Linked DNA regions of Canis lupus familiaris. The protein of the gene in region 1 interacts with the protein of each later gene in a biochemical or structural test. Links are inferred from orthologs where the notes say so. Each region holds a gene or a part of one and is shown in the gene's direction. Other genes may lie near its edges.

Region 1 (4,221 bases):
AACAAATAATGAAGCTTTCCTTGTCTCAGCCACATGCCAATCCTGCCTCCTCAGACCCTCACACCCCCTGATGTGACCCTTCCAGGTCCCTTCTGCAGATGCTGCTCACCATCTTTGGCTTTTTCTAGTTTGATGGCCTGATTCTGAAGCCCTGAGGGTACTGATCAGGCTGGAGGGAAGGGTAGGGCCCCTGAGGCCTCACACGGTCCTGGGAAGTGGGGTCTCCCTGCCAATCCCTTTCCCCACATAGCCCAGAGGATAAACTTTACAAGAGCAAGGTCCCATCACCATCCCTAGTCCGCTCCAAGCTGGAACTGAGCACAGAATTGTACCCAGCGGGTAATACAGTGGTTGGGGTGGTTTGGTGTTTGAAGCCAGGGCCCTTCATCCAGTGAAGCTGCCCGAGGTTGTGCTTCCTACCCTCACCAGCTGGGAGCTGGCATGCTTCCCCTTTAGCCAAGAACTAACTTGCTCTCTCCTCGCTGTCTTCATACCTGCTCGTCGGCTCTCCCCTTCCACTCCCTGCCTGCGCTGCCTCAGACTCACCAACCTTTCCAACTCTCAACCAAGGCATCATCCTGTTCCCCTCAGCTCCACTCACTGTCCTCCTGGTGTCTCAGACTCAGATCCCTCCTCTGCATCCCACAGCCATTGTCCTAGACCAGGTCACCCATCCCAGGTTGCCAGAGTGACTGTCCCAACATGCGTGTTGGGTCATGTTTCTGGGTTCTAATCTCACGCTGTTGCCCACAGAACAAGTGCATCTCCTTAGCCCTGATCCTGCTCATGGGTCCCCTCTTAAATTTGAAAATAATGAAAACCGGTTTCTTTTTAAGATTTTATTTATTTATTCATGAGACATCACACACACACAGAGAGAGGGGCAGAGACACAACACAGGCAGAGGGAGAAGCAGGTTCCATGCAGGGAGCCCGATGTGGGACTCGATCTGGGGTCTCCAGGATCACACCCCGGGCTGAAGGCAGGCGCTAAACCGCTGAGCCACCCGGGCATCCCTGGAAACTGGTTTCTAAACAGACTCTCCTGTTTCAAACCTCCATGCCTTTGCTCGTGCTGTTGCAAGCGTTCCCCATCCCCAAGTTCCTGCACGTCCCAGCTGAGATCTCCTTTCCGGCCTGCCCCTCTGCAGCGTGCAAACCTGTTTGGGTGACTGCTCTCGCTTAGACCTGGGTTCTTCCAAAGCAGGCCCACCTGTGGCTCCTGTCTGTGCCCGGGGTCAAGCCAAGGGCGGCCCGGCCTCCCTCCCGCTAGGCCAGGCCGCGGCCGGGTTACCCCCAGGTCGGCTGAGCATCTTCTCTCCTCCCCTCCTCCCTCCGGCTCGGGGCGTGTCTCCAGACCCCCCCTCCCCGGCCCTAGAACCGCCCCCCGGCTCTGTCTCACTTCCTCCGGGGAGGCGGGCCCTGAGTGGGGCCGTCCCTCCCACGGGCTCCGGCGACCGCGATCCGGTCCCTGCCTCTCGGTTTCGCTTCTCCTCCCCCCTCAGGCTCAAAACCCAGAAGCGAAACTGTGCTGGGATCCATGCAGCAGGAGCCCGCGCCCCCCCGCTCTCCGGCGCCCGGGCAGGACCCCGCACCGTCCGGGGCGCCCAGCATGCCTCCCCCGGAGCCCGCCTCCGAGGGCCACCAGCCCAGCCCCAGCCGCAGCCCCGCGGAGGTACCACTGGGCTTGGGGAGGTGGGGTGGAGGCTTGGTTGATGGCTTCGGGAAAGGGAGGGGACAGCGAGGCCAGGCACCTCCCCAGAGTGACCCAGAGAGAAAGCCAGACACTGGGCCCCGACCCTCGGGGCAGCTGAGAGTGGGAAAGGGTACCAGGGTGAGCTGGGGGGGCCTCGGGGCTGGCATGCCCCACGGACAGGGGGCAAGGTGCTGAGGGCCTGGACTCATCTGCCCACCCTGGCGACTTGCCCCCCTGAGCCTCAGATGAAGGTCCAGGGATTCGGGGGATGGCGGGGTAGCCCTGGGGAGCAGGCCGAGAGCCAGGGGCATGTCCCAAGTGTGGAAAACCAAAAGCCGAGTTCCCAGATCAGGAAGTGGGAACCTGGCCCAGACGAGAGAAGTGTCTTGGCTAAGGCCTCACAGCTCTTGGGGTGGCTTCTCCGCTAGGATACCTACCTCCAAGATCCTTCTGTTGGAACACCCTGTGTGCCCTCCACCCCCGCACCCCCACCCTGGGTCCACAAAGGGTGTACTGGGGCCTCTTCCGGAAGCTTGCCTGGGTCTGCTCCGGGTTTCCTGGGGCCTCTTCCCGGAAGCTTGCCTGGGTCTGCTCGGGACAAGCTCCCCAGCTGCCCTCCTGCCCCAGAGGAGCTACTTCACATCTCATGCAGTGTGTTTTCCCAGGCCCTTCATGAAAGCACCATCCTGCAGTAACTTCTATTCTGTGCATTATTACAACTAGGAATCGTACTACTTCCTTGTGAACATTCCTCGTGGGCCAGTACTTTATTAAGCACTTTTTCCCCCTTTTTTTTTCTAGAAAATATCCATAATATTAAAATTACCATGTTTTTAACATTTTTATTTCTTCTAAGTAATCTCTACGCCCAGCATGGGGCTTGAACTTAACAACCGCAGGATCCAGAGCCTCGTGCTGCGCTCACTGAGCCAGCCAGGTGCCCCAAAAACTTAACGGTTTTTAAGTGTACATTTCAGTGGCATTGAATATATTCACAATGTTGGGTAACCGTCAACCACCATCTATTTCCAGAATTTTTTTCATCACCCTCCACAGAAACTGTACTCCCTAAGCAGTAGCTCCTTATTTACCCGCTTCTCCCAGCTCCTGGTAACCTCCACTCTACTTTTCTGCTGCTGTGGATCTGCCGATGCTAGATATTTCATATAAGTGAGCCATCCAATTATTTGTCCCTTCGTGTTTGTCTTATTTTGCTTAGCCTAATGTTTTCAAGGTTCTCATAGCATGTATGAGAATTTACTTCCTTTTCATTTTATTTTATGTTATTTTTGGTAAAGATCTTATTTTTAAGTAACCTCTACACCCAGTGTGGGGCTTGAACTCACAAACCCAAGATCAAGAGTCACATTCTCCACCAACTGAGCCAGCCAGGCGCCCCTTCCTTCATTTTCTTTTTTAAAGATTTTATTTTATTTATATATTTTTTTAAAGATTTTTTTAAAGATTTTATTTATTTGAGAGAGGCAGAGACGCAGGCAGAGGGAGAAGCAGGCTCCTTGCAGGGAGCCCGATATGGGACTCGATCCAGGGACCCCAGGATCACGCCCTGGGCCAAAGGCAGATGCTCAACTGCTGAGCCACCCAGACGTCCCTCTTCCTTCATTTTTAAAAACTGAATGATACTCCATTGCACGCGTAGACCGGTTTTGTTTATCTGTTCATTTGTTGATGGACACTTGGGTTATTTCTACCTTTTGGAGCCTGTGCATGATGGTGCTGTGGACATGGGTGTAAAGTATCTGTTCAGCTACTTGTCTTCAGTTATTTTGGGAAATCTATCTAGGAATGAAATTGCTGGGTTATATAGTACTCCTGTGTTTAACTTCTTCAGGAGCCACCAAACCATATATATTTTTAAGATTTTATTTATTTATTCATGAGAGACACACACAGAGAGAGAGGCAGAGACATAGGCAGAGGGAGAAGCAGGCTCCATGCAGGGAGCCCAATGCGGGACTCGATCCCAGGACCCCAGGATCACGCCCTGAGCCCCCAGGTGCCCCTCCACCAAACCATATTAAGCACTGTTTATGATTTACATGAGATACGCTTCACGTATCTCCTTTCTAGAGCGAGTCCCTTGAAGGTAGGGATTTATGCTCCCATCCTTGGGTGTCCGGGCCTCGTAGTGCCGTGCTCCCTGCAGAGGATCTGGGGGGGGGCTCCGGGATTTCAGGCCTCACCCCACCTCTCTGGTCCCCCAGCAAGCCCTGGAGGAGGAGTTCCAGTTTCTGTGCTGCCAGAGCTGCCAGGCCGAAGCCAAGTGCCCCAAGCTGCTGCCGTGTCTGCACACGCTCTGCTCGGGATGCCTGGAGGCATCGGGCCTGCGCTGCTCCATCTGCCAGGTGCCCGGGCCTCTAGGCGCTGGCTCGCCGGCCCTGGACAACGTCTTCTTCGAGAGCCTGCAGCGGCGCCTGTCGGTTTACAGGCAGATCGTGGACGCGCAAGCTGTTTGCACCCGATGCAAAGAACCTGCGGACTTCTGGTGTTTTGAGTGCGAGCAGC
Region 2 (3,961 bases), about 26 Mb from region 1:
GCCTGCAAAATTTCCCTTGTTCAGGGAGACACACCTTTGGAAATGATTTCCCATGATCGCCTTGTTTGTACAAATAAAGTTGACTTTGTAAGGCAACTCCGTTTGGTGTAGTCCCTGTCTATAACTCATCAAGGAGCAGGCCTTTGTTTGGTTTGGTAACTAACAGTCCTGGCATAGTAAATAGTCAATACATAATCAAGAAATGAAGGCCACCTAGTGGCTCAGGGGTTGAGCCGCTGCCTTTGGCTCAGGTTCTGATCCAAGGGTCCAGGGATCCAGTCCCGCATCGGGCTCCCTGCAGGAAGTCTGCTTCTTTCTCTGCCTATGTCTCTGCCTCTCCGTGTCTCTCATGAATCAATAAATAAAATCTTTTAAAAATAACAAAATAATTGAAAAATAAAACACTTTTTTACATCTGATTGTAAAGACCAGATTATGAGCAGGTTTTTCATACACTGAATGAGAGAGAGAGAGAGAGGGAGGGAGAGAAAGAATGGGGGGGGGGGGCCCTGGGGCCCTGGCCCTCAGCCCCTAGTACCCCCAGTGACCACACATCATTGGAACAACCAAAAATAGCCCTGTTAATTTTCAAAACTTTTAGAGAGGCGATACTGCCTCTATTGAATGAGAACCACTTTTTCTTGAGAGTGGGGAGTAGCTGATCTAAAGAACAACATTCTGGCGCCTCTCTCTTCTGAGGACGAAGCTAACCCTTTCCTAACCCGGTACACGGCGTTCCGCCCAGAGACTGATGACGCGGCCCGTGGCCTCGGGTTTTGATTGGGCAGGTGAGAAATGAAAATAGCGGATTAAAAGGAGGGAGAGCCCCAACGCCTTCCGCCGTCCTGTCGCTAGCCTGGGCCGAGACCCCTCGGAGACCGTGGCCGGGCTCCTGCCTGCGCGCCGCCGCGCCGGAGCGCGCTCGCGGTGAGTCCGCTCCGGGGCCGCGCCTCCCGGTCCTCGCTCCCGGCGGCGGGTAGCCGGGCGCCTGGGTTCGCGCCCCCGCGCTCGGCGCAGGCCGGCCGGGGAGCGGCGCGGAGGCTGAGGCGTGGCGCGCGGCGGGCAGCCGGCCCTCCAGGGCGTCCTGGCTGGATAGCTGCCGGCGCGGGACTGGGCTGGACCAGACAGAACCGCTAAGTCATCGCTGGGGTGCGTGGCTGGGTGGGCGGTGGCGGGCGCTTCCGTTCCGGGCTCCCCCGCCTCCACCTGAAGGTTCTCTCTCCCTGGGAACAGCGCGGAGGAGGAGGAGCGAGGGGTCACTGAAGGGCGGCGACCGGCCGAAGGCAGCTGTCCAGGGCCTAAGACAAGACTTGCCTCGGTGAGTGGGCGCGTCCGGCGGAGCGCTGGGCCGTCCTCGGGTGCCCTCCTCCCCATTTTCCTTTAGGGTCCCACATTTCCCCCACGGGTTCTAGGGCTTGTGTCTAAATCCAGATTGTGTCACACTGTTTTGTGTAACATTTCTATGGCAGCTTCTATGTTTGTTTTTGTAAAAGCTTTATTGAGGGACGTCTGGGTGGCTCAGAGGTTGGGCATCTGCCTTTGGCTCAGGGCATGGCACTAGGGTCCCGGATCAAGTCCCACATTCGGGCTCCCTGCATGGAGTCTGCTTCTCCCTTGCCTCTGTCTCTGCCATTTAAAATAATAATAATAAAAAAAAAGGCTTTATTGAGATATAATTCACAAACCATACAATTCGTGTTCAACGTAACACCACTCAGTGGGTTTTAGTGTATTCACAGAGATGTGCAGACATCACTTCAATTTTAGGACATTTTCCTGATCCCAAAAGAAACCCTGTACCCATTAGCAGTCATTTCCTATTTCTCCTCAACACCCCAGGCCTAAGGAACCACTCACCTTTCTGTCTCTAAGGAGTTGCCTGTTCTTGACATTTTATATTAAAGGAATCAAACCGTTTATGGTCTTTGGTGATTGGCTTCTATGACTTTATATGATGTTTTCAAAGATCATCCATATTATAGCAAGTATCTGTCCTTTATTTTTTTATTTTACTGCTGAATAATACTTCATTCTATTGATATATCACATTTTGTTTATCCATTCATTATTCAGTAGGTACTCAGGTTGTTTCTACTTTTTGTGGTATTAAGAATGATATTGTTATCCACATTCTTTTTTTAAAGATTTTTATTTATTTATTTATTCATAGAGACAGAGAGAGAGAGAGAGAGAGGCAGAGACACAGGCAGAGGGAGAAGCGGGCATCATACAGAGAGCCTGACATGGGACTCGATCCAGGGTCTCCAGGATCACGCCTGGGCTGCAGGCGGCGCTAAACCGCTGCACCACTGGGGCTGCCCTGTTATTAACATTCTTGTACAAGTTTTCAGATTGGACAGAAGCTTTCAATTCTCTTGGAGTGGAGTTGCGGAGTCATATGGTAACTCTATGTTTAACCTTTTGAGGAACTGCCAGACTGTTTTCCAAAGCTGCTGCACCATTTTACATTCCCACCAGCACTATATGAGAATCTCAATTTTTCTACATCCTCAACAACACTTGATATTTTCTATTTCTTAAATTATAGTCATCCTAGTGAGTGTGAAGTGGTATCTCATAATGGCTATAATATGCATTTCCCTAATGATGACTGAGGATGCATTGTTTTTTAAATTACAAAATTTAAATTTTTCTTTATTATTATTTTTAAAAGATTTTATTTATTCATGAGAGACACACACACACACAGAAAGAGAGAGAGAGAGAGAGAGAGAGAGAGGCAGAGACATAGTCAGAGGGAGAAGCAGGCTCCCTGCAGGGAGCCCGATGTGGACTCGGTCCCAGGACCCGGGATCATGCCCTGAGCTGAAGGCAGATGCTCAACCAATGAGCCACCCAAGTGTCCCAACAAAATTATTTTTAGAAAGAATTTACATGCTGAGGTTTTGAGAACTTTAACCGTCTACATCACATGTCCAAAGTCACAGAGCCTAGACTCAAAACAAGTCTCTCTAAGGCAAATGCTTGAACTCCACCCCCTCTTTCCTAAAAGAGAATCTGTGATAAAACTCTTCAAGAAAATTTCTCTTGTTATCTCTGTTAGAAAGGGAACACTGCACAAGATGAATCTCTGCATGGACTAAATGGTTCATTTCTTATTTGCTATTAGAAACCCAAATGTGCAAATAACTTTTTGGTCTCTTAATTTTTCTTTGTAAAAAATAAGTGTTTCCAGGGCACCTGGGTGGCTTAGTCAGTTAAGTGTCTGACTTGATTTGATTGATCTGACTTGATTTCAGCTTAGGTTGTGAAAACAAGCCCCCAGTTGGGCTTTGTACTGGGTATAGAGTCTGCTTAAGATTCTCTCTCAACCTCTTCCTCTGCTCCTTCTCCTTCTCTCTCTCTCTAAAAAAAAAAAAAAAAAACAAAAAAACAAAAAAAAACGTGTTTCCTTGACATCCTCACACTGGATCTTAGATGAAGTAGTGACACTTTCTTGGTATGCAGTACTTTTTTTTCTCTTTTTTTAAAGATGTATTCATCCACTGTTTTAGAGAGTCAAGCAGACTCCACATAGAGCTCAGAGCCCCATATGGGGCTTGAGACCATGACCCAGCCAAAACTAATAGCCAGACGCTCAATTGACTGCACCACCCAGATGCCCCAGCATGAAGTGATTTTGTGCTTTTCTTCATGTTAGTGCCCTTTGGACTTCTTCTTCCCACTGTCATCAGGACATGGAATGTGGAAAGACAAAAGCTTAAACTTTGTTTAAATGCATAATTATCCAAATATTTTGAGTACACATTTTTTTCCTCTAGATATCTATTCATTTTATACTATCAATTTTACGTTAGATATTACCAAAATTTACTTTTTCTCTTTTTTACAGTTAAAAATTCAGGTTGTGTAGTCTTAAAAGTGACATCCAGAAGCCTCATAAACCCACCTACGTAGGAACACAGCAGTTGTAGAGGTGGAGAGAGGAGCAACCAGAATT
Region 3 (4,246 bases), on another chromosome or scaffold:
CCGGGGAGGTCGCACCCACCACCTCCCGTGCAGGTGAGGCCGTCGCGCAGGCAGCCCCGACGCATCGGGCTGGGGGAACAGGGCATCTTGCGTCCCCCGCACTCCAGTTGGGGGGGGGGGGCTCGAGTCCCGATCCTGCCCCCTCCTGCCTCAGTTTCCCCCTCTGCACACACTCGCGGACGGTCTGCAACCTGCGGGAGCCCCGATGCGTCGCTGGCAACCGGTGAGGGGAGGCGGCCAGGCCCGGTCAACCGGGAGACGGTCGCGGGCAGGGACGCGAGGAACCGGGGACCGGGCAGAGTCGCCCAGCGGGACGGGCGGGCCCGGCCGGCGCCGACTCCACGCCCGGGGGCCCCGCTCGCCGCCAGGCCGCAGCCCTGGCCCTAGCCGCCCAGCGGCCAGCAGAACAAAAGTGGCTGCCGCGCGGGGCGCGGGGCGTCCCACAGGCGCGGCCGCTGCGCCGCCGGGGCAGCCCCGCCGCCCCACGCACGCCGGCCGCGCCTTCGGCCCCTTCCGCCCGAGCGCGCTCGGCTCTTTCCGCCGCGAACGGCGCAGGTGGAGGGGGCGGGGCGGGGGCCGTGCGTGGTGACGCCGCGGGGGGGGTGACGCACCGGCGTGCCCCGCCCCCTCCCCCTCCCCGTTCAGGCTCTGGAAAGAGAAGAAAAAAAACTTTCTTTTTTTTTTAATTGAGGAATCAACAGCCGCCATCTTGTCGCGGACCCGACCGGGGCTTCGAGCGCGATCTACTCGGCCCCCGCCGGTCCCGGGCCCCACAACCGCCCGCGCACCCCCGCTCCGCCCGGCCGGCCCGCTCCGCCCGGCCCTCGGTGCCCGCTCCGGCGGCCCCGCTCGCCTCTCGGCTCGGCCTCCCGGAGCCGCGGCGGCGGCGGCGGCGGCGGCAGGCGGCGGCGGCGGCGGCGGCGGCGGCGGAACGGGGGGTGGGGGGGGCCGCGGCGGCGGCGGCGGCGGCCCCGCTTCGCGCATTGTTTTTCCTCACGGCGGCGGCGGCGGCGGCGGGCCGCGGGCGGGGAGCGGAGCCCGGAGCCCCCCGGTCGTCGGGCCGCGAGCGAATTAATTAAGTGGGGCGCGGGGGGGGGGGGGGAGCGAGGCGGCGGCGCGGCGGCGGCGGCGGCACCATGTTCCCGGGGACTGCCTGAGCCGCCCGGCCGGGCGCCGTCGCTGCCAGCCGGGCCCGGGGGGGCGGCCGGGCCGCCGGGGCGCCCCCGCCGCGGAGTGTCGCGCTCGGGAGGCGGGCAGGGGATGAGGGGGCCGCGGCCGGCGGCGGCGGCGGCGGCGGCCGGGGGCGGGCGGTGAGCGCTGCGGGGCGCTGTTGCTGTGGCTGAGATTTGGCCGCCGCCTCCCCCACCCGGCCTGCGCCCTCCCTCTCCCTCGGCGCTCGCTCGCGGCTCGCGCTCGCTGCTCTCCCCTCGCAGCCGGCCGGGGCCGGCGCCGACCCCCGCCCCGGAGCTCTTGCCGGCCCGGCCGCCCGCGCTCGGGGCTGTTTCCGCGAGCAGGTGAAAATGGCCGAGAACTTGCTGGACGGACCGCCCAACCCCAAACGAGCCAAACTCAGCTCGCCCGGCTTCTCGGCGAATGACAGCACAGGTGAGGAGGGGGGGCCCGGGCGGGGGGCGGGGGCCCAGCCCGCAGGTTAGCGCCGGGGGGACCCGCCCCGAGGCGCCAGCCCGCGCGGCCGCTGCCCGGGGCCCCGCCGGCCCGGGCCGAGGGGGAAGTTTGTGGCCGGACGGCGCCGGGGCCCCGAGCGGGGGGCCAGCCCCGGAGTTGGGGAGCCCTCCGCGCGCGGAAGGCGAGCGGTACCTGCGGGGAGCACAAGGGGAGCGGAGCGCGCCGGGCTTCGTGGCGGTTCCGCGCGCCTCCCTGTGCGGCCGTGCGTCGGCTCACGCGGGGCTGCCTGGAGGGCTGACAGCGGAGGGTGGGCTTCCCGGTGACGGAGGGGAAAAGTGCAGCGAAGCGGGGGTGGGGGTGGGGGGACGACCCAAAGTCTTTTCTGAGCTGGTAGCACGATTCGCAGCGCTGCGATCCGGATCAGGACACACGCTCCACACACACAGCTCGCTCGTAGCAGCAGCCGACCTGGGAGTTGGGACTTTGGAAGTTTCTTGGGATGCGGTCCTTGGGAAGATGCTTTTCGCAGTTTGTCTTGAAAAAACTCTGGTTGTTGGGTCTACCCAAGGCCGTTCCGTTTGCACCAGCCCCAACTCGGTTAGCAAGATGTCATCCAAGTTGCTGTGCTGTGTTTAACTTCAGAGGCATGACCTTAAAAGAAAGTTTAGGTACAGCAGATCCTTTCGGGCTACATCCTCCGGCTTGAGTTGGTGGGGCTTTTACACTGTGGGTGTATTAAAGAAAATTATGTTAAGGAATGTAGGAATCGCAGGTCCCACCCACCACCACCACCCCCTCCAAAAAAAAATTTTTTTTTTTTTTTAGCCAGGTATTAAATGAAGCGTTCTTTCAAACAGCATCCATGAAAACTTTGTGAAGTAATCCCATCAGTTGCCTAAGTATTTTAGTTTCTATTCGTTTAATAACTCTGGGCTCTTCTGAGCTGGTTCACGGTAGCATTATGATCGAGTTGTATTTCCTCTTTCAGACCTCTCCTTTGCAGTAAAAACTTGTGCACCGCTGCGAACAGTTCTGTCTCCAGCGCAGCCTGCATTTCTCCAGTACGGTCTTGGTAGTAGCAGCATCTGAAAATCAGTTTATAATGAATGGGTCCAAATTGAATTATATTGCTGCAGCGATGCCTTCAGATTTGCAGTAGACACAGCTGTTCAGCTTGTGCAAATATTTCTGTGGCCACTGGCATATTTCTACTAATGGTCTAAAAAAATCTGTTTCTCCTGTTGAAACAAAACTACTTGGGTTTTGTGGCTTCGGTTTTAATACAATTTCAAGGATAGTAATGTAGGTGTGAGAGAAAGGATATTTTAAAATATCATGAGATTCTTATCTAGTTTAAATACAATTTGTTAAACGGTGGGGGGGGAGTAAATAAGTCTCATGGGGCAAAAAGTCACTAATACTTTTTTGTAATTGATAGAGTGGAGTGTGATGTTTATTTTGTCAAATCAGCTTGTCTGAAGTAAGAAATGTGGAAACAGCCATGACTTAGATGCCCTTTTACTATAGAACAGATCTCTTTTGCTTCATTAATCTTGCTATGTTTGAGTGAAAAGTCTTTAATCATATGAAACATAGATCATACCAGGCAAGTTCAGCTTTGAAGTTTGTCTTCTGAAACTGGTAACTTTTTGAATGGCTTTGCAGCTTTGCTCTTGTCAAATGAGGCTATTGCAGATTGTGTTTTCTATAGAGGGATAAATTACTAACACAAGACTTAACAGAAAGGGTTTTCCGAATATATACATTCAGCTGTTAACAAGGTGGAGCCTAGAGAATGGCCTTTTTGGGTAGTTCTGTTAATGGATGGTCAGATATTTACTTGATGCGCTGCTAAATCACAACAAATTTTTTCGGAAAGGATTTTTCCCTCTTGGCTACTTTTTCTCCCCTTTCTTTTCCAACGTTGATCCTCCTAAAGCATGAGGGCTCACTCTTTTCCAAATGGGGAACACAAATTTTTAATAGCTCTGATTTAAATAATAAAATTCATGATTATACTTATGTCAAGTCACCTTGGTTACGTTTTCATCACGTCACATTATTGGCCAGAGTCTATCAGTGCGGGGGCCAAGGAAGGATCGTCATCGAGCAAATTAAAGGAGGTACAACCTTGTCTTCTGTAACCAGTAGTCTGAGACAGAGATCCTAAGGATATATATTGAACAAATAAAGGACTCTAGGAATCACATTACGTCCAATCAAAGGAGTGAAGGCATTGGGGTAGGTGGGAAAGTAGGGAGAGACTCAACCTCGTTTAAGTGAGGGGATGTGTTTTTGAGGCTCCTGGAAGAAAAATGGAGCCAGGTGGAGCAAAGCGCGTTTTCTTTTTCCGTGATAATAGAATTTGAAGGGAGTTCTGTACATGGGAAGAGCTGAGAGGTTAGGAGGAGCAGGAGGCAGCCTGGTGGCCTGAGAAACGAGGGATTTGGACTGCTACCATGCAGCACATGTCTGTAGGGACTGGCCTGGGGAGCCATCGTGTCCGTTGCGTGAGTCTAAGGGACTGACATTGGGTGGAGAGAATAGTACTCCTGACATTGGGTAGCTAGCTCACAAGCCAGGGTGCTCCCCGCAGGGCACTTGCAGTCTAGTAAGGGGA
Region 4 (3,981 bases), on another chromosome or scaffold:
GAAGGAAAATGTTCAATGACCACTCCAGCTAATGCGAAGGAGTCAGAGACATGAACATAAGGGTGGCTAGATAGTAGTGGTGCTTGACGGAAACCCAGCTGTCCTTGTGCTTCTATGAGAAATGTTTATCAGCTGCAGTTAGATGATGAGCAGTGTTTGTCTTTACTTTCATCTCTAAGAACTTACCTTCCTCATTGTCTTATTTTTTCTTGGTAGTTTTCTTGACTTTTTTGTTGTTGTTGTTTCTAGAATCACCATAATTGTAAATCATACAACTATTCCAGAGTTATGGTTTTATAGATTTCTGAGGTTATCTCAATTGTGGCTGAGGTGTTGGTATGAAATAACAGTACTTTCTAGATAAACATATTAATAGATGAATTTAGCAGGAAAAGTTAGTGAGTGCCCGTGAATGGTGCTACTTACTCCTCCCCCAAAATAAATAAATATTTTAATGTTATAAAACATATAAAATAAATGATCAGATGTTTTGTTTAGGCCACCTAAATGAAAATATCAGACCAAAAAAAAATTAAAAAAAAAAAAATATCAGACCGACTGCTGATCTACTCAGCTCTACAGAATTCATTTAAGATATCTAAGATCCCAGGGGGTACTTATGGTTCATCCAGAAGCTAGCACATCTTGAGTGGCTCCATGATTAGACCTATGTGGGAAGATGTTTCTTCAAATGAGCTAACCTGACAGGGTGTGTGACAAGGCGTAGTAGACCATGCGGGACAACTTCGGATATAACAGTTACCTGGGTCACCTAATACAGTTGGTTTTAGTAGGATTGCAGCCCAGTGAGAATTGAGGAAGAATCTGTTTCTATCATGAACAATATTTATAAAAAGATAAGTAATGAACAAAGTCCTGATACTCTAATTCTGTATCTGAATCTTGATTGTATTCCTGAGTGATTCCACAATTCCCCCATCCCCCTAATTGTGGCAAGGCTGAACACCAGAACTCCTTGGCCCCACCCAAACTTGAGTGGCCAGAATGAGCTTGGCGGAGAGGGGGAATAGATTCTCTTTCCCAACCTTGCTTTGAAGTAGAGTGAAAGTATTCTGTAGGACCCAAGCCATTGGCCAGAACTGAGACAAATCGCTGAATCCATTCATTCAATGGTGACTAAAATATTGATTTTTCCCTTTCTTTTTCTTGTAGGTATGGCCTCACATGTGCAAGTCTTCTCCCCTCACACCCTTCAATCAAGTGCCTTCTGTAGTGTGAAGAAACTGAAAGTAGAGCCGAGTTCCACCTGGGACATGACTGGGTACGGCTCCCACAGCAAAGTGTATAGCCAGAGCAAGAACGTACCACCTTCTCAGCCAGCCACCACAACCGTCAGCACCTCCTTGCCGATCCCAAACCCAAGCCTACCTTACGAGCAGACCATCATCTTCCCAGGAAGCACCGGGCACATAGTTGTAACATCAGCAAGTAGCACTTCTGTCACTGGGCAAGTCCTCGGCGGACCACATAACCTAATGCGTCGAAGCACTGTGAGCCTTCTTGATACCTACCAAAAATGTGGACTCAAGCGTAAGAGTGAGGAGATTGAGAACACAAGCAGCGTGCAGATCATTGAAGAGCATCCACCCATGATTCAGAATAATGCAAGTGGGGCCACCGTAGCCACTGCCACCACATCGACTGCCACCTCCAAAAACAGTGGCTCTAACAGCGAAGGTGATTACCAGCTGGTTCAGCATGAGGTGCTGTGCTCCATGACCAACACTTACGAAGTTTTAGAATTCCTGGGCCGAGGGACGTTTGGGCAAGTGGTCAAGTGCTGGAAACGGGGCACCAACGAAATCGTGGCCATCAAGATCCTGAAGAACCACCCGTCATATGCCCGGCAAGGTCAGATCGAGGTGAGCATCCTGGCCCGCTTGAGCACGGAGAGCGCCGACGACTACAACTTTGTCCGCGCCTATGAATGCTTCCAGCACAAGAACCACACGTGCTTGGTCTTTGAGATGTTGGAGCAGAACCTCTATGACTTTCTGAAGCAGAACAAGTTTAGCCCCTTGCCCCTCAAATACATTCGCCCAGTCCTCCAGCAGGTAGCCACAGCCCTGATGAAACTGAAGAGCCTAGGTCTCATCCATGCCGACCTCAAACCAGAAAACATCATGCTGGTAGATCCTTCCCGACAGCCCTACAGAGTAAAGGTCATCGACTTCGGTTCGGCCAGTCATGTGTCCAAGGCTGTGTGTTCCACCTACCTGCAGTCCAGATACTACAGGTAAGAGCGCTTGCTCAGGGACAGGAGATGCCGAGGGCCCACTGGCGCTGCGTGGTGGTTGCTGGGGGGTAGGGGGGATGTGAATGACACTTCTCCAGGATTGCCCTCAAGGCATCATCATTTAGTCAGACAATTAGGACATGTATATGGAAATGATGGTTAGAAGCCACGTAAGAAGGAAGCCAGTGTGCTCCTTGGCATAGATGTTCAGAGTCCAAAGGGATGCCTAGAGGCCAGGGTGCAGGGCTTGGCAGGGGGGGTTAGGTCCCCCGACACATAGGGAGGATCCAGACCTGGGCAGGCTGGGCCAGAGGGGCATGCATTACTGAAATCACTGCTGTAGGAACACCCAAGACTCTCATGGAAGACAAGGAGGACACCTGCCCCCCATTAGGCCACAGCAGGGAATCTGTGGGTAGTGGCTGATAGGATTGAAAGAGTAGCTTGGAGCAGGGTGTCGGGGGGATCTTAAATATCACACTAAGGGGTTGCAACCATGGAGCACGCACTGAGGTGCCAGAACAGGTAGCAGGGTGAAAGTGATGCTGGGAAGATGGCTTTTATGTCCCTGGGGAGGCAGGAGGGCGAGCAGAGGCCCAGAGGCCAGTCAGCCCCCGCCTGCAGTAGAGAGCTCCCGATTTGGATTTGGTCAGGACAGAGGGAGGCCTGTGGCCGCCCAGGCAGGGAGTGCAAAACTTACGCTCCTCACTCACTCAGCAAGAACTCCAGCATGTGCTGGGCACCAGCATGCGGCACAACAGCCCCGGCCAGGCCCTCACCATCCTGGAGTCTCCAGTGGACTGGTTCCCCATCTCGGCTGTGCGTCGGATGGGGGATGGGGTGGGGTGAGGGATGGTGTTGAAAACTAACCTGGCTTGGGTCCTAATCCCCACAAACTGAATCAGCCCTTCTGGGTGTGGGGTCCTGCATGGGTGCTTTCTAACAGCTTTTCTGGGGATCCCAGTGCGCAGCTGGGGTTGGGAGCAGCAGCTCTGTGGGGACCCAGATGAGAGAACACTGGCTTTAGAGTCCGAGAGACCCAAGGCTGGCCTGAATCCCCACACTCAGTAAGCTGTGTGGTGTAGCCTTGTTGCCTTGTTTCTCTGTGCCTTCACTTCCTCACCCATAAGCTGGGGAAGTCCGGTCACCAGCCTCAGGGTTGCTGGGACAGTGGACCGCAGTGACGCGGCCGGAGTGCTTTCCTCACTGGCCAGCTCGTGGTCAGTGCGTGAGGAGTGGAGAGAAATGGGAAGCAGAAGAGTCTGTTCTGGGGAGACATTGATGGGCTGTGCTTGAGGGGATGTCGAGCAGTCCAGTGATTGTGGAGGTTAGCAGGAAACATCCTAAAACTCCCGTGAGAAGATAGCACTGGCACGCATTTAAGAGATTGCCACATAGCCATAAAACCAGAGTCCCAAGACTCATGTGCCTGAGCCCCTGTGCCCTGACACTCTGATCGTAGGTGTGCTTTCTCCACCCTTCCCTCTAGGCCACAGAGAAACGCTGCAAAATGGGCTACGTCACGTGGGCCCAGCTGACTGGTCACCTGTCCCCATAGCTGACCCCTTTACCCATCCTCAGCCTGTGAGTCTCGGTGGATAACCTCACGCCCCCTTTCCTGAGAGATCTGAGCCACAGGTCGTGTCCCCCCATCCACGGGGACCCTGTTGTGGCTCTGTGCTGCCTCCCCTCCCAACCCCTACCCCTGCCATCTCCTGAGCTGC

Evidence for each region. The genes of interacting proteins can lie anywhere in the genome.
Region 2: of the proteins of PML (region 1) and RNF4, one has a biochemical effect on the other in vitro, tested with the Homo sapiens proteins (3 studies listed by BioGRID, with this or other methods). The link is inferred for Canis lupus familiaris from reciprocal best matches to the Homo sapiens genes PML and RNF4.
Region 3: the proteins of PML (region 1) and CREBBP form a complex in vitro, tested with the Homo sapiens proteins (2 studies listed by BioGRID). The link is inferred for Canis lupus familiaris from reciprocal best matches to the Homo sapiens genes PML and CREBBP.
Region 4: of the proteins of PML (region 1) and HIPK2, one has a biochemical effect on the other in vitro, tested with the Homo sapiens proteins (2 studies listed by BioGRID). The link is inferred for Canis lupus familiaris from reciprocal best matches to the Homo sapiens genes PML and HIPK2.

The regions. Positions count from the first base shown.
Region 1 is NC_049251.1:37,672,043-37,676,263, forward strand, and holds the start of PML (protein PML), read left to right. Parts: upstream 1-1,419; 5' UTR 1,420-1,539; coding exon 1,540-1,674; intron 1,675-3,920; coding exon 3,921-4,221.
Region 2 is NC_049251.1:11,636,692-11,640,652, forward strand, and holds the start of RNF4 (E3 ubiquitin-protein ligase RNF4), read left to right. Parts: upstream 1-1,155; 5' UTR 1,156-1,318; intron 1,319-3,853; 5' UTR 3,854-3,961. UniProt on the Homo sapiens protein: E3 ubiquitin-protein ligase which binds polysumoylated chains covalently attached to proteins and mediates 'Lys-6'-, 'Lys-11'-, 'Lys-48'- and 'Lys-63'-linked polyubiquitination of those substrates and their subsequent targeting to the proteasome for degradation.
Region 3 is NC_049227.1:37,710,931-37,715,176, forward strand, and holds the start of CREBBP (CREB-binding protein), read left to right. Parts: upstream 1-1,440; 5' UTR 1,441-1,520; coding exon 1,521-1,605; intron 1,606-4,246. UniProt on the Homo sapiens protein: Acetylates histones, giving a specific tag for transcriptional activation. Mediates acetylation of histone H3 at 'Lys-18' and 'Lys-27' (H3K18ac and H3K27ac, respectively).
Region 4 is NC_049237.1:8,903,726-8,907,706, forward strand, and holds the start of HIPK2 (homeodomain-interacting protein kinase 2), read left to right. Parts: upstream 1-1,175; coding exon 1,176-2,257; intron 2,258-3,981.